Linked DNA regions of Lonchura striata. The protein of the gene in region 4 purifies or fractionates together with the protein of the main gene of each other region. This does not show direct contact. Links are inferred from orthologs where the notes say so. Each region holds a gene or a part of one and is shown on either strand. Other genes may lie near its edges. The genes, in order: NUP85, NUP43, NUP107 and SPAST.

Evidence for each region.
Region 1: the proteins of SPAST (region 4) and NUP85 purify together in Homo sapiens (affinity purification with mass spectrometry; 3 studies listed by BioGRID and IntAct, counting the BioPlex papers as one, with this or other methods). This does not show direct contact. The link is inferred for Lonchura striata from reciprocal best matches to the Homo sapiens genes SPAST and NUP85.
Region 2: the proteins of SPAST (region 4) and NUP43 purify together in Homo sapiens (affinity purification with mass spectrometry; 3 studies listed by BioGRID and IntAct, counting the BioPlex papers as one, with this or other methods). This does not show direct contact. The link is inferred for Lonchura striata from reciprocal best matches to the Homo sapiens genes SPAST and NUP43.
Region 3: the proteins of SPAST (region 4) and NUP107 purify together in Homo sapiens (affinity purification with mass spectrometry; 3 studies listed by BioGRID and IntAct, counting the BioPlex papers as one, with this or other methods). This does not show direct contact. The link is inferred for Lonchura striata from reciprocal best matches to the Homo sapiens genes SPAST and NUP107.

Annotation. Positions count from the first base shown.
Region 1 is NC_134621.1:5,353,822-5,360,810, reverse strand, and holds the start of NUP85 (nuclear pore complex protein Nup85), read left to right. Parts: upstream 1-3,968; 5' UTR 3,969-4,003; coding exon 4,004-4,036; intron 4,037-4,137; coding exon 4,138-4,231; intron 4,232-4,316; coding exon 4,317-4,479; intron 4,480-4,832; coding exon 4,833-4,903; intron 4,904-5,234; coding exon 5,235-5,278; intron 5,279-6,012; coding exon 6,013-6,082; intron 6,083-6,961; coding exon 6,962-6,989. UniProt on the Homo sapiens protein: Essential component of the nuclear pore complex (NPC) that seems to be required for NPC assembly and maintenance. As part of the NPC Nup107-160 subcomplex plays a role in RNA export and in tethering NUP96/Nup98 and NUP153 to the nucleus.
Region 2 is NC_134605.1:57,519,588-57,526,660, forward strand, and holds the start of NUP43 (nucleoporin Nup43), read left to right. Parts: upstream 1-4,069; 5' UTR 4,070-4,109; coding exon 4,110-4,229; intron 4,230-4,602; coding exon 4,603-4,725; intron 4,726-4,967; coding exon 4,968-5,045; intron 5,046-5,950; coding exon 5,951-6,128; intron 6,129-7,073. UniProt on the Homo sapiens protein: Component of the Nup107-160 subcomplex of the nuclear pore complex (NPC). The Nup107-160 subcomplex is required for the assembly of a functional NPC.
Region 3 is NC_134607.1:44,371,456-44,379,068, forward strand, and holds the start of NUP107 (nuclear pore complex protein Nup107), read left to right. Parts: upstream 1-4,596; 5' UTR 4,597-4,640; coding exon 4,641-4,648; intron 4,649-5,508; coding exon 5,509-5,594; intron 5,595-6,600; coding exon 6,601-6,690; intron 6,691-7,432; coding exon 7,433-7,548; intron 7,549-7,613. UniProt on the Homo sapiens protein: Plays a role in the nuclear pore complex (NPC) assembly and/or maintenance. Required for the assembly of peripheral proteins into the NPC. May anchor NUP62 to the NPC. Involved in nephrogenesis.
Region 4 is NC_134605.1:32,864,962-32,872,285, forward strand, and holds the start of SPAST (spastin), read left to right. Parts: upstream 1-4,312; 5' UTR 4,313-4,367; coding exon 4,368-4,773; intron 4,774-7,324. UniProt on the Homo sapiens protein: ATP-dependent microtubule severing protein that specifically recognizes and cuts microtubules that are polyglutamylated.

The DNA.
Region 1 (6,989 bases), on a different chromosome or scaffold from region 4:
CTGTGTTTAATTACTCATGCTATTATTTTTTTATTTGTTTAAGGTACTGGGAGGTGAGAAGCACCCTGGCTGGGGAAGACCATGCACTTCTGCCCAAATCCCACTTCATGTGTGATGCCTCAGGCTCCTGTAGTCTTCTTTCTCCTTTCATTCCAGCTCTGAAAAGCAATGGGCAACTTGGTTTGGTCATTCTCAAATTGATCATTACTACTAAGAAGTTGTCACTCTACTAGTGAGAACAAGGAAACAAAGCATCTTAATGCCCACCCTTCTATCTATCTCATCCATGGCTTTTTAAAGCAAAACTCCCAACCCAAGGGGTACTTCACAGAGCAAAAGATGAGTTGTGATTCCCAATGGACTTAAGTTCTATTTTTAGAGATGATGCAACATCACAGAGATGTGTGAGGAAGGGCTCAAGGGGTTTGATGGTCCTGTTGTATTTTGTTCTTTTCACTTCTTCCCCCTCCCTCCTTGAAGATCCCTGTGCTGCAGGCCCAGGAGGAGGATTTTTGGGGAGGTGGGATGAAGCTGGCCAAGGCCTGAGCGTGGCATGAAAGAACTGAAGGCAGAAATGACACCAAGTGAGACACACGTTAAGGCAGCATCACAAATAGAACAAATGTGCTAAAAAAGACAGGAAAATACTCTAGGATTTATCAGAACATATGGGAGTTAGATGTGCTCAGAAAGGCTGAAAACAGCTTCAGATGCACCAGCACTGGTCTCACCACCAATCAAACAGATCCCAAATCACAGAGCAGGTTTATACAAACCTCATCTCTGTGTGGCTTTTCTTTTTACATAGCAACAGAGGAAACTCTGAGAAACTGGAGCTGACAATGATCAGTACTAAAACCTGCAAAGGAACAGGCCAGACAGCAGCACTGGGAGAAAGCAGCGGGGGGAGAAGCCACACTGGGAACTACAAAAGCTCCACTCCTGCAGGGTCCGGGCTGCAGCAGAGGGGAGCAAAGCAAAGGTTTTTGTCCCTCTGAGCTCCTCCTCTTCAATGCACCAAGCTGAAGGGAAGTGAATGGAGAAGCATCACAGTGAAAATTCCTGAGAAATTCCATCTTTGGGAGAAAAAAATTCCACGTGTTTTTTTCTTAAAGTATTTCCATACTTTGTTTCACTCTTGTACTGCAGTTTTATAAGGAATAAATCTAGATTTTGCAGAGCTCTTTGGTTTAATTCTCCCCCCTCTGATGAAGAGGGCAGGGAACATGGGCATTCCATATACATGTTCTTCATGCTGGGATTTTAAAATATTAAGTTTTTTGATACCAAAGCAGCTACAGGTAGAAGGTGCATGCTCCTGCACATCAGCAAACATTAGCCTATAAAACCAACTCCAGCCCCTTCAAAACTGAGTGTTACTTTGTACTGAGTCCAATGCAATAACAAAAAGCACTCAGTAATTTGGTGTGAATGAGTGCGTTGGGTTACCAGCTCAGACTCTGCAGGTCTGAGTGCTTTCCTCAGGCTTTGTTCTTCATTAATTCTGGCTTAACCCTGGGAATAGAAAATACCTTTTGCCTATAGCCCTGCCTGTGCTGTGCCTTCCCTGTTCATGATGCTGATCATTCCCTCTGTTCCCCAAATAGCTTCCAAACCTCCTATTTCACAAGGTAGTAACTCCTGTCCTAATCAGATCTTTTTTTCTCTCTTTTTCTCCTGACTGTAAACCACACAATTTCTCTTTGCTTCCCTTGCTGGACCCACAGCCCATACTCCAAAGCCTTTCTGAGCAATGTGAAATTCCATGCTGACATGGAAATTCCCAACTCTACTCAATTATATGGACTGAGAGGCACAGAAGCCTCGAGCAGGAAGGTTTCCTTTCTAGGTATGTGCAGAGCTCCAGCCAGTGTTCAAGAGGACCAAAAATTGTCAAGATTTCATACCAAAACTCACCTTTTCCAAGATGATTTCCACAGGAACCATCCATTTATGAACAACAGATGCTGCGGATATGAAAAGCCACTGACACTTTTAGGGAGAGAGCAAAGTGGACGCTGTGTGCCAAGAGACAGCAGGAGAAGATCAAAGAGTTCCAGCTTTCAGTGTCTCTTCCCACAGATGGACCTGGGAGCAGCAGAGGACACTGTCCCACTCCTAGATCAACCTCCCACACGGTGGATCTCTACACAGTATTACATGGATGTTCTAAATATATTCTGCCACTCACAAGAATCTGCTGCAGTTATAAAAGCAGCACCTTAGCCTTGAGGAACAGTGGCAGGAGGCCTCGTACCCCTGGGTTTTTAGACATCCGGTTTTGAATTGCATATAGAGCCTTTTAGTGATGTGTGGAATGGTATTCTGGATCTAGGAATGCCCACAAACATCCTCAGAAGTCTGCAGCACAGAGCAGCACCATTGTGTAAGACAATAAGGTGAATTTGACTTTGTACAGCAGATTAAAATACAGGCACATCCTCAAATAACAAAACAGAGACCCTTACCCATGATAAACAACGACAGGTTTAAAACTGATGAGTCTTCAGTCTCTCAAGCAGCTTTTGGAATGTTTAATTTGTTCTACCTGCAAAAATTTATTCGTTCTGACCTGAAGAGACACCACTTTCTTTTCTCAGCATGACTGGTTACATGACATGCTCTTCCCAGAGATAACTGCTGGCCTTATTTTTATTGGAAATGATGGATGCAGCAGTTGATAAGTAAAAAAGGGCAATTTAGCCATGGAGTGTTGCACTATTTGTCATACAGGACAGCAAATTATTTACATTATCTTGAAAAGTTTCTTTTTAGTGAGCATTCTGGGAAGGCACCAGCCTAAGAGGGACTGGTTCCAGCTGTGAGACCAACAAAGCTGCACTGCTAATACTTGTCTTAAAAAGTATATTGCTGAAGAACTTGCTTATTGGCTAGCACAGGCAAAAAGTGAGGAGTTCACAGAAGCAGGGAGGAGAGCAGAATGGAAGGAGAGGAGCAGGGTGCTGTGAGTGTTTTATCACACCATGGCATTGAGTTGAATGCCATGGTAGGTGAGCTCCCAGTGTTAACAGAAAGGTGATGAGCCTCCAGCAGCCTCAGAAGGCACCTCTGCCCAGTGTCCAGGGGATATTCCACCTCCTCCTGGACCCTGAGGCAGGGAGTGAGTGAGTGAGTGAAGCACAGTGGCAGTTCTTCCTGCTTTGATCCTGCTTCATTACATGTCCTTCCCGAACCTGCAGGCAACTCTCTGAAGTCAGAGCACATAATTTGATTAGTCAGCTTTATCAATGCCCAAGAGCTCCAGAGAGCATCACCTTCAACATCCCAGAGGCTTCTCAACCTGCACGTGTTTGACATGTATGAGGAAATAGGAGACATGGGTTGTTACACAATGAAGCGTGAAAACACTGACAGTGACTGTGCACTTGGACAGAGATCAGGCAGGATGCGCAGTCTCCCTCACTGGAGATATTCCAGAACTGTCTGGACACAGCGCACTGCCATGCACTCTGAGATGAGCCTGCTGCAGCAGGCAGTTTGGACCCGAGTTTGTGGTCCTTCCAACTTAACCTATTCGGTGAATCTGTGAACGCTGACTGACCAACGACATCACTGCACGGCACACCTGGGGCCAGCAGTGCTCCCAGCCAGCATTGAATCTGTCCTGGCAAGAAAATGAGGAACACCGTGAGGGGCTGGCATCCACCCCAGCCCACCCCATCCCCACAGCCCGCTCGGCGCAGCCCCGGCGCTCAGGCCCGGCGGCCCGGGCGGTGGCGGGGCGGGTCCGTCCGCCTGGCGGGGCCTCGCGCACGGGCGGCGCTTCCGGGGGCAGCGCCGGTGCCTGTCCCGGGCCGCGGGACCCGCGCTCCCTCCCGTCCCGGCGGCGCCCGGGCGGCTCCCCCGGCACAGCGGCCCCCGGCCCGGCGGGGGCTCGCGGCACGCAGGCGGCGGCGCGGGCAGCCCGGGGGGCCTCGGCGGCCCGGCGGGCGGGAACGGCAGCGGCCCGGCGGGCGGGAACGGCAGCAGCGCGGCCGCCGCCATGGACGAGCCGGACGCGGAGCCGCCGCTGGTGGTGCGGGATGGGCCGGGCCGGGGGCTGCGGGGCCGGGGGCTGCGGGGCCGGGGGCTGCGGGGCTGAACGGGGCGCCGCTGACGGACACCGTCCCCCCGCAGGTGGTGCCGGGCGCGGACCCCTCGGCCCGGCAGCTCTGCTTCGCCTGGGGCCCCGCGGAGGTGCTGGTGTGCGAGACGCTCTTCGGCCGCGCAGGTGGGCTCCGCTCCCCGTGCCCATCGCGGTTCTGGGTGAGGGCAGGGCGGGCGCTGCTGCCGGGCGCTGACGGGCTCTGTTGCAGGTACCGGGGATGGAGCACCGAGCTCCTCCTGCGTCTTCGTGGTCCGCAGGGACCAGGACATTTACATCCAGACCCTGCGGAAACTCTTCAACGAGTCGCACGGGATTTTCATGGGGCTGCAGCGGAGCGAGGAGGAGCTGGCGGGGAAGTCGCGGAAGGCGCAGTGAGTGGATGGGGAGATGCGAAGGAGGCAGCCGCTGCCCCTTCTCCAGCCGGGGCCAGCGCCAAGGGCTGACGAACGCCTCAGGTGGGGCAAGTGCCATTGGCCAGGCTGCTTTCACCAGCTCTGGAATCAGCAGCGAGGCAGATAGAATGACTATTTTGGGGATATTTTATAAATCAAGGATCGGATCCTTCCAATAACCATGCTAGTAGAATGTGGTACAGTTTCATTGATTCCAGCTGGATCCACCCAGGTAATGGGAGTTGTTGCTGCAGAGAAACTTGCAGTTATAGGGGGCATAACACTAAAACTCCAACAGCTCCCTCCAATCAAAGTCTTTTTGTGTTTGGCAGATTGGTTCAAGTGAGTAAAAACTACCGGTCAGTGATAAGAGCCTGCATGGAGGACATGCACCAGGCAGCTGGTAAGTTTGTTTGTTCTCTTCCTGCAAGAAAAGGAAACACCAGTTGCAATTACAAAAGTAGGATTGTAATAGTAACTTACTGCAAGTGCTGTACAATAACATGTATAGGTTTCAGTAATTGGCAAGATTCTATTTCCATGTGGGATATTTCCACGTTGGTTTGTGAATCTGGTCATGGACTGGTTTTTTCCCACCATATTGTAACTGATTTTCTGGGGACTTGCAGCCTTTTCGTATCTCATGTGGCAGATATATGGAAAGCTATCAAAGCTCAGAAGCAGCTGGCAAATGTAAATATGTTGCTCTTTGACTTTATTTGCTTTTCCTTCAGTTTCGACCCAGGACCCTGCCCTGCAAGGCCAGTACAGCACTCAGGTAATCTGCAGTCCTGTCAGGTTGAACGTGGATTACTGCCTGGTGAATTCACCAGGCCACCTCTGTGGCACGAGGCACTTCAGATTTAACTCTGTCTTGTATATGAGATGCAGTTCATGACCAAGAATAAATTGAAATAAATAGTTAATTCCTGTGCTTCTGAAACAATAAAGATGCCAAACACCTCAATTCACTGCAATGTTGTAAACATATTTTCTGTTCTAGATGTGATGTTTTCTTGTGATCCCAAAGCTGACAAGAAAAGTTTCAGACTTGCTGTGTGGTGTTTCACCTCTCAAACTCTCAGATTCCAATCAGCAGCATCTGAGCCTCACAGCAACCTCTGGGTGTTGAGGGTGAGCTGTCAGATCCACCAGAGCGTTCTGGGAGGAGCAGAGTGCTCACACCAGCTCTGTCCTATCAGCTGCAGTGGTGTTGCTTCATTGGCTGTTCTTTCTGCCTTTGATGTTTGTATTGAATCTTAAAAGGCTGAAAATAAGACCAGTTATATTGCTCACTGGTGACAGATTATTGTTGCATTTCATTACACAGTGTCAGTGTTCTCTGACCAAAGAGTGTGAAATTGTGGCCTGTGTCTTTTAATTTTTATCTCTGCAATGTCAGTATGATGTTTCTCTGTAAGAACTGATTTCTGTGGACAGCAGATGCCTTTGTGTGGTTAAAAAACCCAGGTGGAATGACTGTTTCTGAAACTTGGCCCTGCTTTCCTTCAGGTTTCCATTCTCTCCGCAATGGAGCTGATCTGGAACCTTTGTGAGATTCTGTTTGTTGAATCAGCTACAGGTGAGCTGTGAACTATGCTGGTGTAAAGACTGATGGGTTTCTTCTTTGCATATTTCTTTGTTTAAAATGTGTATTATATTCCCTGTGTCATAGTTTAATGTTTTAGAGGTATGCAGTGTCAGTAAGCCTTTTAATATCCCTTCTGCCTCAGTTAACTGCCTTCTTTATACTGAATTATACCAAGCTATTCAATTTTCCTTCTACTTTTCTTCCTCGCTCTGATTTAAATTGTTTCTTTGTCAGAAAGGTTATGAAGCAGAGGGATATCAAAAGTTGTTGCCAATCTATTTTATTTATAAGCTTAAACATGTCTTTAAACATCAAATGTGTCGATGCCAGTTGACATTTACACAGCTCTGATATAACTCCTTTAACTTTAGGTTGCCATTTTTGAAGTCAGTCTGTTTACATTGGTCTTTTAAAGTAGGAAATAATTTTTGAAGGAAATCATATTATGCAAATAAATGTGCTACTTACACAGTCCCAGAATTCAGCAGAGACTTGCAAATTATAGATTACTTAAGCTAAATTGGTCACCTAGTACCAAATTTCTTCCACCTATTCAGTTAGTAATAATTATGCTAAAATAAATAGAAATATTCTGTTTGTCTCTTGGCATTGCAAGATTTATGATCTGGATCACTCATTTTTTATTTCTTCAAGTGTGGGTTTTCTACTGGACCGTGTTGCCACAGGAAAACCTGTCAGAGGCTGGGTGCTCCCAGGGCCTCTTTGCATAAGGAGCTCTGTAATTTGGGGGTGGCAGGTAGAAATCCAGTCAGTAAATCTCATCTAGTGATGTCAAACTGTTATAAAATGTGCGAGAGCAGTTTGGGAACAAAGAGGTGGGAACTGACAGAGGGAAATCTGCCTGCACAGCTGGGCCCCTCCTGCTGCGCCTCCTGGA
Region 2 (7,073 bases), about 25 Mb from region 4:
GACATTCAGAGAATGAAACTAAGTGTGGGCCTTCCTTAACAATATCTGGGGTGTCTTGGACGGATATCAGGCATGTGTGAAGGAAACAGCATTGGCTTGGCAGGCTTCCAGGAGCTCTAAGACAAGCCAAGTTGCCTCAAAGGGTCCTGGGAAACTAACATGCACCAACAGTGGCAGGATGCACCCATTTGTGCAGTAAACAAGTGAAGGTGTCCCTAACTCTTTCAGTTCCATAATCCCAGGCCATGTGTACATTTAAAAAACCTATTAGGAGCACATTCAACGAGACTAAACTAAAGGCAACATTTTTTACTAGTGTAAAATATGAGCAGAAATAATAATACAAAAAATTGTTTTCTGGCCATCACCATTTATGTGAAACCTATCCATTTGCTCTGATACTCAGGATTTCTGTATCCTGCTCCAACTCATGTGAGCACCTTGGTCCCTGGATGCTCACTGTCAACTGCAGGCACCTCCATTTTCCACATGCAGAGCCATTTCCCTAGACTCTCCAGGAAGCTGATGCGTGGACAGTCCTCTTAGAGAAAAGGCACAGGAATGCCAGCAGCCGGAATGCCAGCAGCCAGAATGCCACCATACAATTGTTCTGACATGAAGATCCCACTAAGTGTAAGCACATCATCTCGTCTTCCTTTGCTGCACATTCACCCACATCCCAATCCTCTCTAGCTGTACTTCCATACATTTATATATAAACCCCTTCAAACTACTATTTCTGTTTGATTCCTTCCCTCCCACCTCATAGGCCCATTAGATTTTTTTAAATTCTTTGAATTTAGAAAGAATTTGAAAATTGCTCATCACTGTCTGCTCCCATCTGCTTCTGCATACCACAAGCAGAAATTTCCTTGTGAAATGTTCCTACTGTACATTTCCGCAGTTATGTCCCAAACCCTACGCTAATTGGCTTTTACACCTACACTCCCTCCTCTTCTTGCCTCCATTCTGTTTTTTAACTTAATCACTCTCCTTCATCTCATTTCTTTTCCTATAAGCTCAAGCCAGTTTGGTGTGTACCTTCCTTTTGTATTACCATTTCAGAAGTTTACATTATTTTGAACTCCACATCCATGTTTTACCAGCTCTGCACTCAGAGATGAGGTGAGAAGGACTCAGTAACATCAGTGACTTTCCCCATTAAGGAGCAGCAGAACTGGTACCCCTTCATGAAGGAAGGTCAGCCTTCCAGATGAGACCTTCCAGATGATAGACCATCCCACAGCATCTAAGCAAGGCAAGCAGAGCAGGGCTGGGGACAGAAATGGTTTTGCCTTCAAGTGAAGTGACAAGTCAGGCCCCAAGTCAAGCTAGCCACCAAGTTTGGGCAACATGGCTGAGCACAGGCCCTCCTACAGCACAGCTCAGGCCAAGAGCAGGGTATCCCAGCCCAGATGGGAGCCCCAGCCACGGGCAAGGCTTATGACTGCACTCAGGGCTGGTCCCTCTGCTGTTACATCTGCTCTGCAGTACACTGCAGTGTAACTGTACACCTTCAAGAGAATAAACTGGGCACAGCTCCAGGACCTCTTAGCAGCTGTCAACATTGTTTTGGCATCTCCAAGAAACTTTCTTTCAATATTGTTCAATGATGATTGGAGAAAAGCAGATTATATGCAAATCTAGTTCAGAATTAGCTTTATCCTGCCCTAGTACAATCACTGATCTAGTAGGTGCCTTTGTCCTCAGGCCCCCTACGTTCTCTGAGACAGGCATGCTTTCGGTTTTCTTCCCTTTCACTCACACTCCCAGCTTTAGCCATATTGAAGGGTAATCCAGAGATGCACCTTGTTGTCTTAGCTGGCATGCTTGGACCAAAGGCTTAGAGTCATCTTAACCTAGATTTAACATCTTTCTTGAAAACTACAGAAATACTAGATGAGGCGTATTTTCTCTTGGTGCTTATTTGCACCTTTTATATGTTTATTTAAATCTGCCATTACACTGAAATGATATACTAACACAGTACACATCTTTCAGAGGGATCAAGCACAGAGTATTTAAAGGTTTACAAAGCAGACCTAAATCTGTCAGAGCTCTCACTTTCATCATATAAAATGCTGCCAACATTTTCTTTAAAAAATGTAGGACAGGGAAGAAAAACTGTGAATCTTCTTTTCCTCTATGTGAAAATAAGCCTTTATGTCCAACTAACTTCCCTTACTACTTCCCAAATGCTTCTGAACAAGCAATCCTGAGCAAAGAAAGATATCATCCAAAAGCACAAGGTAAAATAACACACAGAGAAATCACAAACTAACAAAAAAAAAAATATTTGCCTAATAAGACTTTTTAATAATTCCAAAGTGTTTTCTATTCAGCTTTTAGTTGTCTGGTCTGTAGCTATACTCTGAGGCTGCCTATTGATGTTTTTCGTGTTATAAAAATTAGCTGATAATACCCTTGGAGTCAAGAGTGACTTGCAGAACTGCTGTGAGCAGCTTAATAAGGGTGCCAGAAGCATTTGCTACTGTAGAACAGCAATGCTGCTGCCATGTGCAACAATTATTTTTTAAGGTATGTTTGCAGTATGGTAGACTCCTAGAGAATCCAGCTTTTGGCATATGTTCAGTGTTGGATTCTGCTGAATGTAATTATGGAAGAAAAAGTTAAATGAAGTTCAAAAGATGCATGAAGCACATAAAATATCAGTGGTTTGGTATCACACCTCAGGGATTACAAAACAGTATAGCAGACTTAATGAGGAACTCAAAAGTGCTGTATAGAATAAATCTGTATAGATGCCTTTAGCAGGAAAACTGCAATAGCACAATGGAAAATTTGTCTAAGCCACTGTTATGTCCATCTGACAGAACCTCTGAGACTGGGCAGCATCAGCTTTGGAAAAAAATGCAGCAGAAAACAAAGCTGTAAAAATCTGTGTGAGAAAGTCCCTTACTGGACTGCAGTGACTGGATCAATAGTCTCATCCTCTGAAATGACAACTAACTACACAATTGTGTCAGCCTTTAATTTTACAACTAACCTCTGAACTTTTTATTGCATAGTTATTTAGTTCTCAAGTGAAATACTAGAAAGAAAGTACATGTGTGCTCCTCTTTGATTTAACATAGCATCTACGACAAAAAAATATTCTGTTTATTTCTGTACAGGTAGGAATCTGTCAAAGCAATGACAGTATCACTCAGAAGTACAGTATCATGGTTTAACCCCAGCCAGCAAGTACCAGGCAAATATTTGGTCACATAAGCCCCACAAACCACCCCAGCCCACCCCAGGGAGTATGGGGAGGACAATTGGAATAAAACCAATGTAAAAAAAAAACATGGGTTGAGATAATAATAACAACTTATCTCTTAATAACTCTAATAATTCAAATCAAAAAAGATAAACAGCCTGTCCCTAGGCAGTAATTGGTCCCTCCTGGCCAATGTTCCCCAGTTTAATCAGTGCATGTGATATTCTATGGTATGGAATATCCCTCTCACCAGCGCGGGTCAGCTGTCCTGGCCATGCTCCCTCCTGGCTTCTCGTCCAAGTGCTCACCGGCAGAGCGAGGACTGAAAAGAACTTGATTTGCGGTAAGCGCCGCTCAGCAGCAACACATCAGTGTGATGTCACCATTATTCTCACATTAAATCGGATACATAGCGCTCTGGCTGCTACTCGGAAGAAAATTAACTCAGCTGAAAGCAGGACATACTTAAAAGCAGATCTTAAACCAGAAATGCTTAGTCGTTGTGTACGTCGCTCATGTTGAGAAAACAGGAGTCGGTGCATGTAAGGCACAGGTGACATACGGACACAACGCTCCGGCGGACGCGGCCCAGCCGAGCAGACAGGTAACACAACGGCACGGTCGCGTCATCCTCTGTTTCCTCCTCTCCGAACCCGACCCTCTACCGACACCGAGCCGATAGGCGCCGGTGCAGCTGCTCAGGGTCAGGCAGAGCGCAGCGCCGCCCCAGCCCCGTTACCGCGGGCAGCAGGCGCCGGGCCGCCCCCGCGCCGCTCCCGGCACGGCCCGAGCGCGCCCCCGCCTGTCCCTCCGCGCTCGCCGTCGCGCCGCAGCCAATCAGCGCGCGTGGCGCGGGGCGGGCGGGAGCGGGCGCGGGGCGGGCGCGGCCATGGAGGACGTGAGCGCCAAGTTCGTGTCGCAGAAGATCAGCCGGACGCGCTGGCGGCCCCTGCCCGCCGCCGCGCTCCAGCCCCCCGACCTCTTCGCCACCGGCTCCTGGGACAACGAGGTACCGCCCGGGCGGGCCCGAGGGCGCGGCGCCACCTCCCCGCCGGGCGCGGGGCGGGTGGCGGCGGCGCCCCACGCCGCCTCGGTTCCTTGCCCTCCGCCGCCTGGTGCGGGAGCGGGGCCGGAGCCGGCCGGGAGCACCGCCTGGCTCGGCAATCCCGCGCTCCGCTTGACCGTGCCGTGCTCGCGTCCCCAAGGGAGCTGTGGGGCCGCCCCGGCAGCGTTATCCCCCGGGGCAAGCGCTTCCCTCCGGCCGGCGGCGGCTTCCTCAGGAGCGGCGCGCAGCCCGCAGCCTATTGCTTTCCCTGGCTGAGGATTATTGCTCGGTACTTTCAAAAGCGTTTTCGAGTACATGTGGTATCGTTTCCGTTCAGGACAACAGGATCTCCATTTGGTCTGCTGGCGACCTTGGAAATGCGGGCCTCAACGGTGAATATCATGGAGAACCTCATTTGCTGTGTGACATCCAGCACAACGGCGATGTTATGGATATGCAGGTAAAATACCTGTGTTGAGTAGTTCCGTAGTTTTTAAGGGCTTGTCACTTAGGAGAAGTTGAGTGAAAGTGAACTGTCAAAATGCTGAGATTGGCCAGAAAATTTTGACAAAGAAAAAGGACAATGCCAATCAATATTGCTGTGTTTTTCGTGCGTTTGGTTTTTTCCCCCTCCACCTACCAATAATTTTGATTACTCTAAAATCAAAGTTGGCTAATAGTATTATTGTTTTCTCTCTCTAGTTTTTGGATCAAGAGAGAATCGTGGTTGCCTCATCAACAGGAACTGTAACTGTATTCCGTCATCATCAAAATAACCAGGTATGTGACATGCACTGGCTTTAAAATGCTATTCCCTGTAATACAGGTTACTTTGATCTTAGCATAAAAATAATCTGGCTACCAAAATGAATTTCTTTTAAAAGCGTGTTAAAAAAGCTTTGACTTGACACATACGAGGAAACAAAATAGTGTTTTACACATATGCACATAAACTAGATTCCAGAGTGAGACAGACTGGGGTATCTCCTTATCTGTATCTGTAACCAAACGCCCATTCATTGAAAGCATCGTTTGAGACATTAGAGGGTTTTGGGGCAGTAGATATTAATGGACTTCTACCTGCCTTATCAGAGTTTTTGAATTCTTGAAATAAATTACTTCTTTTTCAATTCTAACAAATTATGAATTAATTCTTATGAGTGTCATGTGAAGAAAGATATGTAAACTCTGTAGCCTTTTGCTTTGGTTATAAATCACTGAAAATAAATGCATAATTACATTTTTATATATGTTCAAATAACACAGTAAAGGTGGATGTCAGTTAATAATTTGGTGTGGTACCTAAAATAAACCAACTTCCTTGCAATCAAGATCTGAATCTGACCTTTTATTTTCTAAGGGCATCAGTTCTTTTCCCCTGTCATGGGAAATATTGAAGACATCAGCCTAGTGAAAGACATTTTACAGTCCATAGTGTTATTTCTAATTGCTAGATCATGTGAACACAGTGGTTCAGAGAAGAAATAATTAACATTTAATAAAAGCGTTGCGTGTTTAAGATGAAAATTTGGATCTCTTGATTTGTATTTATATAGGAGGCTCTCATTCCCATGAAATACTGTGGCTTTCCTGGAGCTTGTTTCTGGTTATATGAGTATTCTGGAAGATTTGTTCTATTGGGTTCATTATTTAATACCATAATTTCATGTGTGGTTAATACTTAGACATTATCTGCTGACCACCGGTGGGAGAAAGCCCATTATCATGTGGATCAAGACACAGCTTGTGGTGGAGCAGCCTGTACAGGAGTTGTCTGCAACAACCCAGAAATTGTCACTGTTGGAGAAGATGGTAGAATAAATCTCTTCAGGGCGGACCAAAAAGATGCAGTAAGAACTATAGGTGTGTGAAATACCAGGGTTTTTAAATTAGTCTAGTTTGGAGGGGGTTTGGTTTTCAGCTTATTATAACAAAATAAAAAATAAGTTGAATATTGATTTCAGTATTCCAGGTTGAACATGTTTGTTCCAGATTATTCCTGTATCCCTCCAGAATTCAAATACTTGAAGCATATTTCAGATGTATTTCTATATTCATCTAGGTATTTTTAAATTCATGGTTTTACAATAAAAGTTGGAGAGGTAAGAGAGAGAACATCTTAGAAGATGCTCTCAGGTTCTTCAGAATGGAGTTCTGTGGTGTAAGCAATCTGTTTTGCTGGTTCCCACTTCAATAACACCTTGACATTTCCCAGGCACTAAGCTGAATCCGTAACTTGAAGATAGAACTCTTGTACCTCATTCAATAGTTGCAAAGGAATACCTTGGAATTTCTGTTAGTGTTTAGTGTTATTGTTTTGTTATTGTTTGTTTAAGAGTACAGTACAAAGTGCATAGGTTTGTAGTCAGTTAAGGTAGGGAAAAAAACATCTATAAAGTTAGAGGTTTATGTAAAAATATTTTGGAGCAGTAAAGATGTATCATTGCTAAACCACTTAGTCTGTCATAAAACTTTAAATCCTCTAGAACCTCGGTATTCAGTAATCCAACATTTCTTTTTAATGATGTTTTAGTGAGTTTTTTCTTCCCCTCTGCTTTCATTTAAACAATAGGCAGAAGAGTCATTCCAATATCTGTAACCAGGCATCATTGTAATTTTTTTCCCAGTATCAGAAAATATTTCCATCTTATGCAGAAAGATAATAATTTGCCTATATTTTCCATATGGGCTTAAACAAAGAATTTTAAAATACTTGAGGTGAAAGTAGACTTAACAAAGTTACCCCATCATAATCAAGATGAAAGGTTTATATATAGTAACAGAAATAAAATACAAGAAAATAGTGTC
Region 3 (7,613 bases), on a different chromosome or scaffold from region 4:
TATGTAAGCAGTTACCAATTGTAGAAAAGAATCCTGTCTGCTGAGATTTTTGAACAAACTTTTACATATCTTCAAGATAATTCCATTATGTACCAATGCTTAAGAAGTTCACACTTGAATTGCCTGTACAGAAACTTCTCCTAAAGCTTTAGATTAAAACATGTATAACTAACATTTTGAGAACTAATGCAGGCATTTTTGCAAATTCAGTGTTAAATACACGTGTAACTGCTTGTAAAGTTATCTTATGCTTACCGTGCACAATGCTTTATTTCCTCTCTAATCTGAAGCTGATAAATGTCAGTATTTAAAGTCTGAGCCTTCTATGGGAAAAGTATTATTTGTGTCCAGAAATACTGAAATACAAGAAATATGAATTGCACTCATCATATTAGGACTCTTGCCTTGCAATATAAATTTCTCTTATATCTTACCTTATCCTAGTGCCCTTTTTCATCCTCAAATTAGTCTGTGAAATGAATGTTACTTGCCCAACTTAGAAGACTATTTTGAGACTGCAAGATGTTTTCAGATGTCCAAATAAGTGTAAGCTCAAACTACTACTGTTCTCCTACATAAGAGACTTAAATTCTAAAAAAGTATTGTGGAGTTAGATACTAGGTTTTTCATAAGATGTATTGATTCTGTGATAGTAGAAATGAAAGCTGGCAGGAGTTTGAAATTGGGATTACAATTACAAAGTAATAATTACAATTACAAAGTAAAATTGCTGTTTTCTTATGGGTCAACAGTAAAGATGAGAATTTTTCTGCTTTTAAAATGGTGTCAACAAACTGGATGAATTAAACGTCATGAATTTTTTTTCCAAGTTTTCTAATCTTAGCCAGTTTTGAAAATAGCTTAGCTGGGAAGTCATTTGGCCACAATACTGTACCAGCTCTAGACAGGCGTATCAGCAGTAGAAAGTTATACTGGATGTGAATGGTCAGAAGTAGTCTATGTACAGCTATGTAGCACTTTTTCAATTGTAATCTGATTATGCAGCCAAGGGTAGACAAAAAACTTTTTGTTCAATTTTATACTGCTGTCCCAACAGCATTAGGCTACATTTCAATTTATTGCATTTATTTTGCCTGTGTGTGGGGAGGAGGATAAAGACAAATAAAAAGTTGATTAAGTATATAACAAAATGCAGTTGCAAGTTGTTTTCTAAGGTAGCATTAGTACCAGAGTTATTAAGTTAGGTTTTCTGAATCTCAAGCATGTTAAGCTTTTTTTTTTCCCAAAAGCTTATTTAGCAGCTTGAAGATTTTTAAAACCTCATCTATATTTTCCATTTTATAAAGTGTCTGGAATTATACTTATATTTGTGGAAAACTTTACATTCTGAGTCTTGAACTGAAAGACAAGCAAAGTTGTTTTGTAGTCTTGATTTTGTTCACAGTATTTCAATATCTGGGCTTCAAACAACATATAAATGTGGATTTTGCTGTGTTTTCTGTGTTTAGGGTTTTTGGGGGGGTTGTTTGTTTGTTTTAAATAACCTCCAAAACCATTTATTTTCAGAAGTTTGAGTCATAAAGCAGAGAGTGACTTCATGTTTTCAAACAGTTGTTCTTTAGCGAGAGATTTGTGAATGGAGAAGAGAATATCTTTGCACTTCCACTGTACTCCTGTCTCAAGAGATCCTAGTTCTGCCAAACAACAAGTGCTACAGCTTCATTGTTTTAAGAAAGTTTACTACTACCAGGATTTTTTTTCTTTGAAGTTGTGACTGGGGTGAACTTCACCTGAGAATCATTGTAATTTCTAATTAATTCATGTAATGTCTTTTGCTTACCATGAACTTGGAGGCGTGGGCCATTTCTGTAGTCTTGAATACTGAGTGAAATCCTAGTGGATGTTACAGTTCCTTCTTTTGTTGGTATACTTTAACTTTTCATACTATATGGCATTTTAACCTTCCAAATCTAGTAGGGAGGACTTGGTATCTTCACTCCCATACTGCATACAAAAAAAATCCTCTACGTATGAAATCCTAGCTCTCATCAGCTGGGTTTACTGCTTGTAATGCACCCAATAGCAACAAAGACCCTTGGCAGTACTGTCATGATTTTCAGACACAAATAAAATGAGCTACAAATTTGTCTCTTTCTTTTTCCTGTTTAATAAAAAAATGTTTTTAGCTAAGTTGCCTCAATAGAAAGAGCATGAGAATCAATTTGTTTGGTAAGAACCTGAGCAAACATTTTGAGAGTCAATATGTATTTAAATACTAAGCAATACATGAACGCTTTACTTAAATTCTTGAGATTGGTTTTTAAAAAGTTTCCATGTATTTAAATGAAAAAATTAAAATTTACTTCCAGGAAAAATACTTCCAGGAATGGGTTTCAGCTAAGAAAAGATGGGCTAAAACATGTACTTTTTTGTTTCTCTTACATAAAGGCAAGGTATAGTGTAGTTTTCAGTTTTCTTTGTATTGAGTGAAGTTGTGCTGCTGTCACACATTGCACTTGAATTTTGTTGAGCTCTTGCTTTTGGTAATTCACGATTTTGGATATGCAGATTGTATATATGCAGCTTAGCAGGGCATTAAGAAAATTTATTTAATTTATGAGCAGTCTTAAAGTGTATTTTGTAAAGGGTAATTGGAGTTTTGAGTTAGTTTACTTGTTTAAAGTTCAGAATATACTAGATCAAAATTAACCTAGTACATCCTGTATGCTCTGTTAACTTTGCAGAAAGGTACTAGGAAGCAGAGAAACCTTAGGCATTGGCAATAAATATACCTGGTTTTGGTGTTAGTTGTTCTAGCTGCAGGGTCATCTTTGCGTGTCCTGCCTGTAAGTAAGGAACATTGCTATCTCCCCTGATATTATGGTAACAACTGGAGTTGAGATCAGTGTATCTGATCCAAATATGTGAAACTTCAGGTCAGATGTAAGAATTTTAATTATAAATTTGAATTTAGAGTCCTGAAAAAAATGCATTCTCTTTTGCTTCTTGGAAGTATAAGATGCTTTAATGAGATTTTCAGTTATTTTTTGCTTCATTTTTTCCTCCTTTTTCCGTCTTGGTAGCTAAATATGAAGTGGGATGCCAGTCAAAAAGTACTGAAATACACCTCCAGGTTTTTATCCAGTTCCCCCTGCATTGCCCCCTTACTGGAGCCTCTAAGGTGTTTTCCCAGTCTGCACTTAAGAGAGGCTGTACCTTCTAAGACAAGTCCTCTCAAAGGCCCCAAACGTTCATACACTTTTACAGGTTTGTTGGGTTGGGTTTTTTTTCTTAAAGTATGCATCCTGACCTCTTAATTTATCTTCAGACTTATTTCCTTTGCTATGTTCTCATCTATCAGTGCTTTGAATAAACTTGAGACGGCACACAAAGGAAGCATCTGCTCTGTCATCATTACATTTCTCACTTGTTTACTCTCTGCCCTGAGGCAGGGCTAGCCTGAGGGTGTGAGCTGTTAGCAAACGATTGAACCAGATACTGATTTGTGCTTTACTCTGAATTTCCCACTGCACTAGAGACTATAATGCTACCCTGTTACAGTAGGATATATTGAGACGTAAATTCCATTAAATTCATAGTACTGAACTAGGATGTAATAATTCCTTAAACACTTAGTTTGATGTCATCATGAAGGTTGTTGCCTTTGCTTGTGCTTTCTTGATAGTTTTCAACAAAGAAGGGCAACTTTTTTTTGTTTGTTTGTTTGGTTAGTTTTTGGTGGTTGTTTTTTTGGGGGGTGTTTTTAATCCAAAAGTACATTTCCCGAGTGACTAATCTACTCTCCATAGGTCTGCTTGCTTGTGTTTCTGCATACCCAGTCTTGATCAGTTTTCTTCTTGTGAAGCGTTCTGAAGTTAGGCTCTCTGGCAGCTTCAGTGAAACCTTATGCTTGGGCGTCGTGGTATTTTATCAGTAGCTCAAGCAAGCTGGAGGACTTCAGACCACGTCTTGCACTTCTAGTGCCTTTTGCAGCCGTTGTCAGATGTATCCTCCTGTCTAATTTGCTTCAAGTACCCCTTTGTAGCTGTAGCCCTAAAAATACCCAAGCACTTGCAAGTGTTTTTCAGAACTTGCCTGTCTACATGAAAAGATTCATTTTGGACACTTTTCCTTGTCCTAGAGCGCAACTAAACGAACTGCACCACCGTTATTTGTGCTTATATGGTAGTAACAATGTTTTTCTGTAGGTAGAAAGTAGGTTGAATTCATTTAGGGAAGGAAAGGGAGAGGCAATTTCATAATTCTGTTAAATTTGTCCAGCCTTGAAGGGTTGAGTGATCCCGCGCGGTGCTTGCTTTACCCTTTAATGTTGGTGCCAGTAGACTGAGTGACACTGGGAGAAACGGGGAAGAAACAGACGTGCGTTTGCAGCTGTGTGAAAAACTCGTCCCTGCTCCAGCCGAACGTATCAAACACCTCGCGCGCCCGAGGGCGAGATAACCCCAACAGCGCCTGGCACTTTTACACTACGGGGTTTTTTCAACCTCTGACCCTCAGCACGGGTTGAGAGAGGAGAGCAGGCTGCGGCCGCCCCGCCGCTCCCGCCCGTTACCCAGCGCGGCCCCGCCGGGCCGGGCGGGCGCGTGGGCGGGGCGGGCGGAAGGAGCCCGTGTCCTTCCGGGCCGCGGGCCGGCGCTGGCGGGAAGCGGAGCCGGGCCATGGACAGGTGAGGGCCGGCTGAGCCCGGGCCGTGGACAGGCGAGGGCCGGCTGAGCCGGGCCGTGGACAGGCGAGGGCCGGCTGAGCCCGGGCCGTGGACAGGCGAGGGCCGGCTGAGCCGGGGCCGTGGACAGGCGAGGGCCGGCTGAGCCGGGCCGTGGACAGGCGAGGGCCGGCTGAGCCGGGGCCGTGGACAGGCGAGGGCCGGCTGAGCCGGGGCCGCGCCGGCTGGAGCGGCTGTGCGCAGTGCGGGCTGCGAAACGCAGCGGGCCTGCAGCGGCTCCGGAACGCACCGGAGGGGTTTTGTCGGCCGAGACCTTTAAGTCTGACTGTTGCTTCTTGGTTAAGCGGGAGCCGTGAGCTGCTCGGGGGTCGCGGGGCCGAGCCTTTGCCAGGCCTGCTGAGGCGTGCCCGCACAGCACAGCCCACCGGGCGGGCTCCGCTGCTCCGAGTGACTGGGAATGGGGGTTTCCCTTCGGCAGGACACGTGAGCGTTCCCAGCCTGTGGAGACTGCGTTATCCGGAGGGAAAAGTCATGTAGTGAAGTCATGCCATTCTTTCTGTTTCATTTTTCAGTTCAAAATTGGAATTTCCTTGTGTTGTTCTTCCCTTCCCTCTTTCCCGCTCGCCCTTCCCTCCCTTATGTTGTAGGAGGAACAAAGTCTGGGTTTTCACGCAACCTTGTTTCCCTGAGCTAATAAGCAGTGCTAGATTTCTGCAGAGGAAGCTGGACATAAGTAGTAAGATTGGAGATGACTTAACGCTTTAAGTTTCCTGGTTGTGCAGTTATGTCGGCATGACAGTAAGATCTTGGATGTCCTGCTTGAATTCACTGGCTTGTTTTCTCTCTGTGTTGCTGTTCTGTAGAAATGGTTTTGAAGACATGTCATCCCCCCATGATCCTGAAGTGGTCAGACCTGGACGGAAGCAAGGCTCTCAGAAAAGAGTTTCTAGTATCCTTTTTCTGTAAAGAATTTTTGTCTTTAATTGCTGTGTTCACCAGGTGTGTATATTTTTGATACTGCTTTGATTTTCCTGGGTGTATGAATTCAAGTGGTTGTGAGAACTATATGAGAACTACATGACTCAATTCCTGAGCTTTTGGAAAAGAAAAATACGTTTCCTTCATTATATCTTAATTTTATGATTTTATGTTTATTTGCAGGTATTGTAGTATCCGAGTCCTATGATGATCTACTGTATCTTAACTTTCCATCTACTGTCATAGCAAGAGTAGTGCACAGATACAGATTTAAACTTCCATAGAAATCTCCCCCCTTGCTTTTTTACTATAAGGACCCCACCACCACCACCACCACCACGAGGTAGTTTGACAGCTAAGATAATGGTTTTTTCATGGTTATGATAGCAAAGGAATCCAATAAATTTGTTTGTTCTTCTGGGTTTTGCATCTAAATAAAGCTTCTGAGATACTTGTCCTGATTATATTGTGCCTAAGAATCAAGATACTTCTGAATGCTACTAGCAGAAGCTACTGAAACTTTTATACAACTGCTTCTTAGTAAATCATGCCTAGGGCACTAAACCTGGTTGCTGACAGGAAGAAGAAAAGTAGAGCAATGGAGCACCTGCAACTGAGAGAGGGAACATTCTAAAACATGCATTCAGACTCAGATCTTTTTGTTGTGGTTGATGTAGCATGCAGCAGCTCCTCATGAAGCAGAAGGGCTCTCTTTGATCTGAGCTGCTGTGAGTAGTCCCAGACCTGTGTTGTCCATATTTCTGAACTTCACTTTGTGGTGTCCCTTTTAACCCCCCAGCTCTTAAGGTTCTGATGAAACATTTTATAAAACTTTTCTGGTTTACTCTGGAAGATGTGTAATTTTCATACCATTTGAGTTATGACAAACTATTTTTCCTTTCCAAGTTACCACATTCATTTAGAATAAATACAAAAGTGTGTTTAGGAGAGTGTTTCTTAACTTGTTTACTAATTAGTTCTTACATCCCTGGATGACACTATTGGAAACATGACGCCTAAAAGCCAGTGTCTTTCCCGAACTCCTAATTCATTACTTCACCAGCCAGGTAAGACTGCCTGCTTGTCTGCTTACTATTTAGTTAAAGATTTTTATGTGCTTGTACTTAATAATTAATTAATAGCAATCCATAAGAATGACATGGATGTGCTGCAATCCAGTGAAGGCCCACAAAGTTGGTAAGTGGGTTGAGTACCTGGCATATGAGGAGAGACTTGAAAAGAGCTGGGATTGTTTATCCTGAGGAACAGGTTGGGGGATCTTGTAAATAGATATAAATATTGGATGGGAGGGAGTAAAAAAATAGCCAAGTTTTTCGTGGTGCCCTGAAAAGTCAAGAGGCAATAGGCACAACAGCATATACAAGGAATTCTGTTTAAACATTTAAAAACACCCCTTTTTTTACTCTAAGAGTTGAATGCTAGAACTGGTTGCCCAGATAGTCTATGGAGTCTCTCTCCTTGGAGATAAATAAAGCTGGACAAGGTCCTAAGAAATCTTTTCTAGTTGACAGACCTTTGGGCTGCCTTATGCTTTAAGGGTTTGGAGACCAATTTCCAAGAAAGAATGAGTGGATATATACTGCTCTTTATGCTCATGTGTGTTTACAATGAACTCTGGTAACTGAAGGTATGTTGCCTATTTGGTGTATATATACAACCTGCTTTCAGGTTTCTGTCTGCACTTCATAAGCACTTCAGTCCCTGTTAGAAATTTATTTTTGAATTTCTGGGTGGAGTTGAGCAGCTTGAAATACTTTTTCTTTTCAGAAAAGCCTCTTTCTCTTTCAGGTACTGCATTACATCGCAGCTCCATGAAGCCATCAGATATGTCTGCCATCCTGGGAACAGGAGGGAAGTCTCCTCTCATTCTACCAACTCCTGGACTTTTTGGCAATCTGTCAATGGTAAGATGGTTAGAGCATGTTTTTCTCTTTTTTCCCTGTGAAACATAAGAAAGTTCAGTGTTTCT
Region 4 (7,324 bases):
TAGGAATTAAATTTTAGCAAGAACTTCTTGATGAGGTTCTGAAATCTTCTCTAGAGGAGACTACCTGATTCAAAACCTGCCTGGGTGCATTCCTGTGTCACCCGCTTTTGATAACCCTGCCTTGGCCAGGGGGCTAGGCTAGATGATCTCCAGAAGTCCCTTCCAACCCTAATGATTATGTGAATTCTTTGTCTGGAAGTGTGATTTGTGCTAGAGAATTAAAATACCTTAAAAATATTTTGGGTTCAAACTGACAAAGATGTTTCGTTTCTGTAGGTTTGGAGTTTTGGGATGTTCTGGTTTGATTTGGGCTTTTTTTATTCATTTGTTTGAGGTTTTTTTAGAAAATAAACAAATAGACAAAAATAGGTCTACTTCTTTTCCTGTCTTCCTGTTGCAGTGATGACGATGCATAGGAATGATCTAGTTGATGCTCCTAAAAGATTAGTGAAATGGAGAAGTAACATAAATTGCCATGTTTTCAATAGATTCTGCTCTGACATAATCATCTAGTAGTGTTAATAATGAAGTGTGTGTACATAAATGAATTTGAAACAATGTTTGCAGAACTGACAATGTTACCAGTGTCATAAGCAGGCTCAAAATCTAGTGCAGTCACAGATTTGATACTCAACTGAAGAACTTGGAATTAGAGCAGAACTGTGTCCTGTGTTTATATATATTTTAGTGCCTAGTGCTGGCAGACTTACCTGATGCCAAAGAGGTGAGGTGAAAACACTGAGATTTCTTTACTAAAACTTAGAAAAGGAATACAAACAAATTCTTAATGTGAAGAGGTATAAGCTTTGCAGTCAGTTTTGAGCCTCTCTGAATTTTTCATTGTGTTCTAGTCATGACATTTTAGAGAATTGTATTTAGAGGTCATGTTGGGAAAGAAAAAACGTTTTCCTAATTACCTTTTGGTACAATGGTAAATTGTAGTGTCAGGGTAGTTGTACCTTTCTAATTCCTATGACTGTAACGTTGGTCTGCTCAGATTACTAAATCTTTTGCTGAGACACCAGATTGTATCTCTTCTATTTCACAAGTCCTCAATCTTTAGAGTAGAGTGAACACTATCCCACTCCAGAGGAGGCTTCACTTCTTCCACCTCTTGCTGGTGTTCATCATAACCTTTGCTGAGTCAGGATATCTCACTAACCAGCAGAAAGCCACCCACTGCTCTGATGTGGTTTAAGGGTTTGTGGTTTTTGGGGTTTTTTTTGGTTGTTTGGTTTTTTTTGGTTTTTTTTCAAAGTAGCATTAATCTTTACCAGATTATTAATTAGAATGGTTCACTGACAAGTCCAATGACTGCTAGAGTGATATTAATAGAAGAGTGTTGTTCCGATTTTTAAGATTTTTCTAAAGCCTTCTGAGTTTACATTATTGTAGAGAACTTTCTCACACAACTTTCTGTAAACAATCTATTGTTTTGCATTCCTCCATAGAAGTGGAGAAACTTAATGTACTAATAGTTTATCCAATGTCATTGGAGAGGTGGTACATTCACCCTCCAATCCACTGTCACCTTTAAAAAAATATAAATGCTAGAGTCAGAAAATAAACTTCCTCTTTTTCACCTTTGCAATAGCAGCGGCTGGTGTCGTGCTTTCAGGTGTCCTGTAGTGACAGAAGAAGGTAGGGAAATTAAACTTGCAGAGCACTGAAGTATTTAATAGCCACAATACAGAACTAGTTCTGTAGGTTTTCCTTAAAAGCATTAAGACTTTCTCACAATTTCACACTGATTCCTGCTTTTGAAGCTGTGTTTTGGCTTAAAGTGTTGTTATGCCCCTAAAAAGTGTACTCTTATTGTCATGATACTGTCACATAATTCACAAAGGTGTCATTCTAAATGTTTTAAAAAGTAAAAATAACTGAATAATCTGACTAGTCAGGATTGATTGAGATGCATTGTCTTCTATTGTCATTCAATATGTCCTTGTTAATAAACTTATTCCTTCTCTGGCTTTTCTGTTTTGCTCAGGAATGGGATGCTACTTTAGATAGCAGTGGAATAATAAACACTATAGATTGATAATCTGTTGTTACAGGCTTATTTCACATTTTTGAATGCTTCTTAGTGTTAACACTGCTTGAAGCTTCTGGAATTTCTTTGGTATTATAAAAATCTATTAAACCTTTATATCAGTAAGTGAGAGATTTTTTTAAAGGACAGTTACATATACAAAAAAAAAATTTCCACTCATGAGTGGGTGGAACATACTTGATAGTATTTTCATAGTAGAAGTACATAATCCTTACAAAACACAAAAGAAAAGTACTTGGTGTACATTGCTGCATTTTTTCAGAACTGATAGGTTCACCATCTATCTAACAATGGTCTAGGTCATGAATAATTGTTATATATTTGTATGTTATTTTATATTTGATAAAATTCTGTATTTTATACAGTAAAAAAACCACTCCACTCTGCCATTTAAGAAAATAAATACACGTTACCAGGGGAATCTGGAGGTAACTTTATGAGGCATAAACAAACAAGAAAAAAACCCAGTAGTTTCATAGTAATTTTGGAAGAATGAATAAAATATTGCAGACAGTAGTGATTTTAGTTTGGCATATACTTTTAATTAACATGCTCCACCAACTGCCATTTCATGCTATTAGCTAGGGGAGACTTGACTGTGCACTGAATTTTCTGTCTGCAGTTTTGGGACTGTCTCAGCTCCTGTGTGCAGTTCAGGGCTGCCAGAGAGATGATCTGTCATATCTAATATCATTCAGTATTTTATTTGTGGAACAGAGTGTTTGACAAAGCAAAACAACGGCGAAAAAGATTAGTCAACAGGCAACGCACACACAAAGGTGGGAAGGTTGAAGCAGAGAGGGACTAGACTTGTGGCAAGCACATATCTCTCCCTCTCAGGATTTTTCATAGAGGTGCACAGAGAGAAATGAAAGAGGAAACAATTTCTATTTTTGCTCCTTGTTTTTCCCATGTAGAATGTGTTTGGAGAATTGTTTACCTGGAGTGAGTGCTTGATTGGATTCTGGTGAGGATTGCTTGAGCCTGATGGCCAATCCAATCCACCTGTGTCTGGACTCGCACGAGAGAGAGAGGGTCACACGTTGTGTGAGAGTTAAAGTCAAAGAAAGTAGTATACAGTTTTAGTATCCTCCTTTTATATAGTATATTAATGTATTTTGGCATAGTTATAATAAAGAAATAGTTCAGACTTCTGAATTGAGTCAGACATCGTCGTTTCTTCCCATTGGGTTCACCTGCATATACAATATAGACTAAAGGTACCAAAGCATTCTTAAGTTTGAAATAACCAAAGGCATAGTGAGGTGGAGGATCTATCTCTTTGGTGAAACACAAATAAATATTATGGCTGGGCAAATAATTGACAAGGGTTTGGACAACTGCAAGTTCACTTTTGGTAAGTAGAGTGAAGATTTTTTTTTTTTTTTTCCTTCCAGAGTGATGTATCTATAATGTATAGTGAATTCCATTAGCCCCCTGCATGTGAGCAGCCAGCCTGTCATTCCCATTACAGAGCTGTGGAGCAGACAAAGCCCCGGCGCACACTCCCGGGGGGACGCCGTGGAGAACTGGCTGCTCCACGCCTCTCCGTGCAAGGGAGTTCCCCGGGGTCTGCCTGTGTGCCACTAGCAGTGATCCCAGGCGGGAGCGGCGCCAGGATTGTGCCTGTGGCGTGGCTCACAACCAGTCACAATAACTGATCCTATTCAATTATTCATCGCCCGTCCGCTCGGTGCGTCTCACGGGCCGACAGCGAACGGCCTCGGCTAGGGCTGGAGCGGGCTGGTGCTTCCACTCTGGAGCTCCCCGAAAGGAGGCTGCAGCCAGGCGGCAGGCTGGCTTCTCCCGGGCAACCAGCGAAAGGACAAGGGGACGTCTCCTCAGGCTGTGCCAGCGGTGGTCCAGGTTGGACACTAGGAGGAATTTCTTCACAGAAAGGGTTGTTTAACAAGGGAATGGACTGTCCGAGGAGGTGCAGTCACCGTCCCTGATCACGCTCAAGACCCGTCCGGATGCTGTACTTAGTGCTGTGGTCCAGTTTTACATCCGTCAAAGGCTAGACTGGATGATCTCACAGGTCTTTCATTGATTCTGTGATCCCGAGCGCCTCCGAGAACCCGCCCCTCGTTCCGCGGGAGCGGGGCGGGCTGGGCGCTGCAAGCGCCGTGCCCTCCCCTCCGCTGGTGGCGGGGCGGTGCCGCTTCGCCTCGCCTCTCCCCGCCCCGGCCGGGGCCGGCCGCGCCCCGCCCTCCGTCCCTCCCCCTGGGTCGGCCGAAAGGGGCGTCGCCGCCGCCACCATCGCCATGGCCGGTTGTTGTCAGTCTCTGGCAGCGGGTTATGGCGACGGCGGTGAATGAATTCTCCGGGCGGCCGAGGGAAGAAGAAGGGCTCAGCCGGCTCCAGTTCCGCGCCTCCGACCGCCGGCGCCTCTCCCTCCTCGCCGCCCAGGCCGGCGCCCCCCGTGCCGCCGGCAGGGGCGGCGGCGGCGGCGTCCCTGCACAAGCGGAACCTGTACTATTTCTCGTACCCGCTCTTCGCCGCCTTCGCCCTGCTCCGCTTCGTCGCCTTCCAGCTCGGGCTGCTCTTCGCCTGGCTCTGCGAGCGCCTCTCCCGCGGCGCGCTCATGGCCGCCAAGGGCAGCAGGGCCGGGGCCGGCGACGCGCCCGAGCCCGGCGGGGCGCCCGAGACGGTGCGGGCGTGCCACAAGCGGGCCTTCGAGTGCATCTCCATGGCTCTGCGCATCGACGAGGACGAGACAGGTAGGGAGGGAGCGCCCGCGGCCGCCCCGGGGTGCGGGGGGAGGCCGGGAGGGCCCTGTGCCGTGGAACCGCTTTCAGCTAAGAGCAAACAAAACCCGCTGGCGAAAGAAATGCGGGGAGCTGCGGACGGGCTGTGCGGCCGTGAGCCGTGCCGTGTCCGCATGCAGTGGCGGTGCTTTGGTCCTTGCCGCAGCCCGCAGGCGCGGGTCGGATCACAAAGCTGCGGCGCGGCCTCATTCCCCTTGCAATACAAGTGCTTGTATTTCTCCCCAAAAACATAATTTTTGCCGCGGGGGTCTGGGTGAGGCGGTTAAAATTGCGGGCGGGTGTGTGACTGTAACTAGCCTCCACCAAGCTAGCCGGACAACAAAAGCACCAAGGACAATAATAAAGATGCATCCTATAATGCACTGCCTGACAAATGATGTGAGTCCTCGAGCGAGGCTTCAGGTTACTTAGCCCTCAGAATGCCCACTTGGAGTGGTGTGATTTTAAGGAAATAAATACTTACTTTAAGTATTTTGGCAGTTTCTTAAAACATGTTTTTCTTAAACTTTAAGTTTGCCATGAATACTCTTAAAAAACCTAAAAACCTACCACTGTGTGGTGAGAAGACCTTAAGGAGAACGTTTAGGATTCAATGAAATAAAACAGAGGAGTGAGGATTTTTTTTTTTTTGTAGAGCATAATATAAACCCCAACCAAACAAAACACTTGATACTAAATTAAATTTAATCATTTATTCTAAATGCAGCAGCATGATTCTGTCAGCATGCAGAAGGTAGGCCTTGGAGACCTGCTGTGCTGGTGTTTAAAATTCTCTGGAAAAGTCAGATTACTTTATTCTAAACTTTCAGTTGAGCTTTACTAGAACTGCTATCCTAGAAGAGGAGATTAAAAATATAGGAGTAGGTCTTCAATAGGTGCTGCACACTGAGAGCGCCAGAAAAGCATGGGATGTGTCCTCCTTTGCCTTGACAGTTTGGGAGTGGCAGTGGTATGTGCTCTGGGAGAGAAAAAACTGCGCACCATGTGCAGCAGGGTTAGTTCAGCACAGGTGTACAGCGAGAGAGCACTGAGGGTCATAGGAGCAAAGCATGAAAGAAGGTGAGGCTTCAGTGTTGTTGATGATTGCTCTGTGAGGAGTAGCAAAGTCTTACCTTATCAGGCACCTGTTCCACTGCTGTGATGTTTAACTGTACGTGGTTTGGTGGGTAAGCCCTTAAATATGAATTTTAATAATTAACTTGCTCTGTAGGTATCTTTAGAGTGATCATACATGAATTAGCTGCACAGGCCATGCATTTAGTAAGATGATCTTTGCTGCTTATATGAGCAGTTACAAAACTGTAACAGTCCTGCAACTGCAATATACATCCCATTGAGAAAGAACTCATAGATTTGTTATTTGATATATAGATTTGTTATTTGCTTATCTGATTTTACCAGAATACTTGTCTTATCTTTGAAAAAGTTTTGATCTGTAAGCAAGCTTTTTATATCTTCAAAGACAAAACTATATGTTAGACACAGTATGTGAAATTGGTGGAATTTCTGAATTGTCTAATAACCTATTAGTTATGTGGCATTTTTGCTGTTGTGGGAGCTATGCATACTTCAGTAATTTTGATAGCACTTCTGGTAATTTTTTATGCTTCTGAATTAGGGCAGTTATTCTTGTTTTGGCATTTTTACAGTTTAATGCTTAATATTTTTTTCTAAGAAGGCACATATGGTGTGTTGACACCTGCAAACAGTTAAGCATCCACACAGTGGATTATTCTTCTCAGTGGGACAGGGGAGAGCATAGGAGGAGCAAAAGTGAAGGGGAAAAAGGGTGAGAAATCTTTCCAAGTGATGATTGCCTTGGAAGACAGCCCTCATTCAGTTATTCATCTACCGAGGTTTTTATTGATGAGCATTATATTGTATGATGCAGAATATTCTGTTGGCCTGTTTGGGTCAGTCATCCTGCTAGTATTCTCTCCCAACTTCCTGTGCACCCTCAGCCAACTCACTGGGGATCTAGATGGGAAAAAGAAAACCTTGAGGTTGTGCTGTTCAGCAACACCCAAAACATTTCTGTGTTATCAGCTGTTTTAGTCACAAATCCAAAACACAGTGCCATTGGGGCTGTTTAAGGAAAATCAGCTCCATTCTGCCAGAGCCAATATAGCAAATCAGCAACTTCCAAGGAATGTGACATTTATTTTATTTTTAATGTCATAATCATTGAGAACTAGTCAATCATTCTGTGTGGCAGTGGAGCACAACCTTTGCAAACAGCTTGATGTGGTATTGTGCTGTGAAAGCTTTCTCCAGTTAAAAGCTGGAAGTGAAATTTTAATGATGACCTTGTAATGTTTGCATCTGCCCCTAAGAATAATAAAGCCATTCAGGCTTTGTTAGCAGAGGTGGCTGGAATCATCTCAAATCAAGATTTTATTTAGCTATAATCAGTATTAGATTTATGATTTACACTGCAGTTGAAACTGTTTCTGTGGGTGGTGGAGAGAAGAAGCTTAAAGAAAAGTCTCAAAAGAGGATTGAA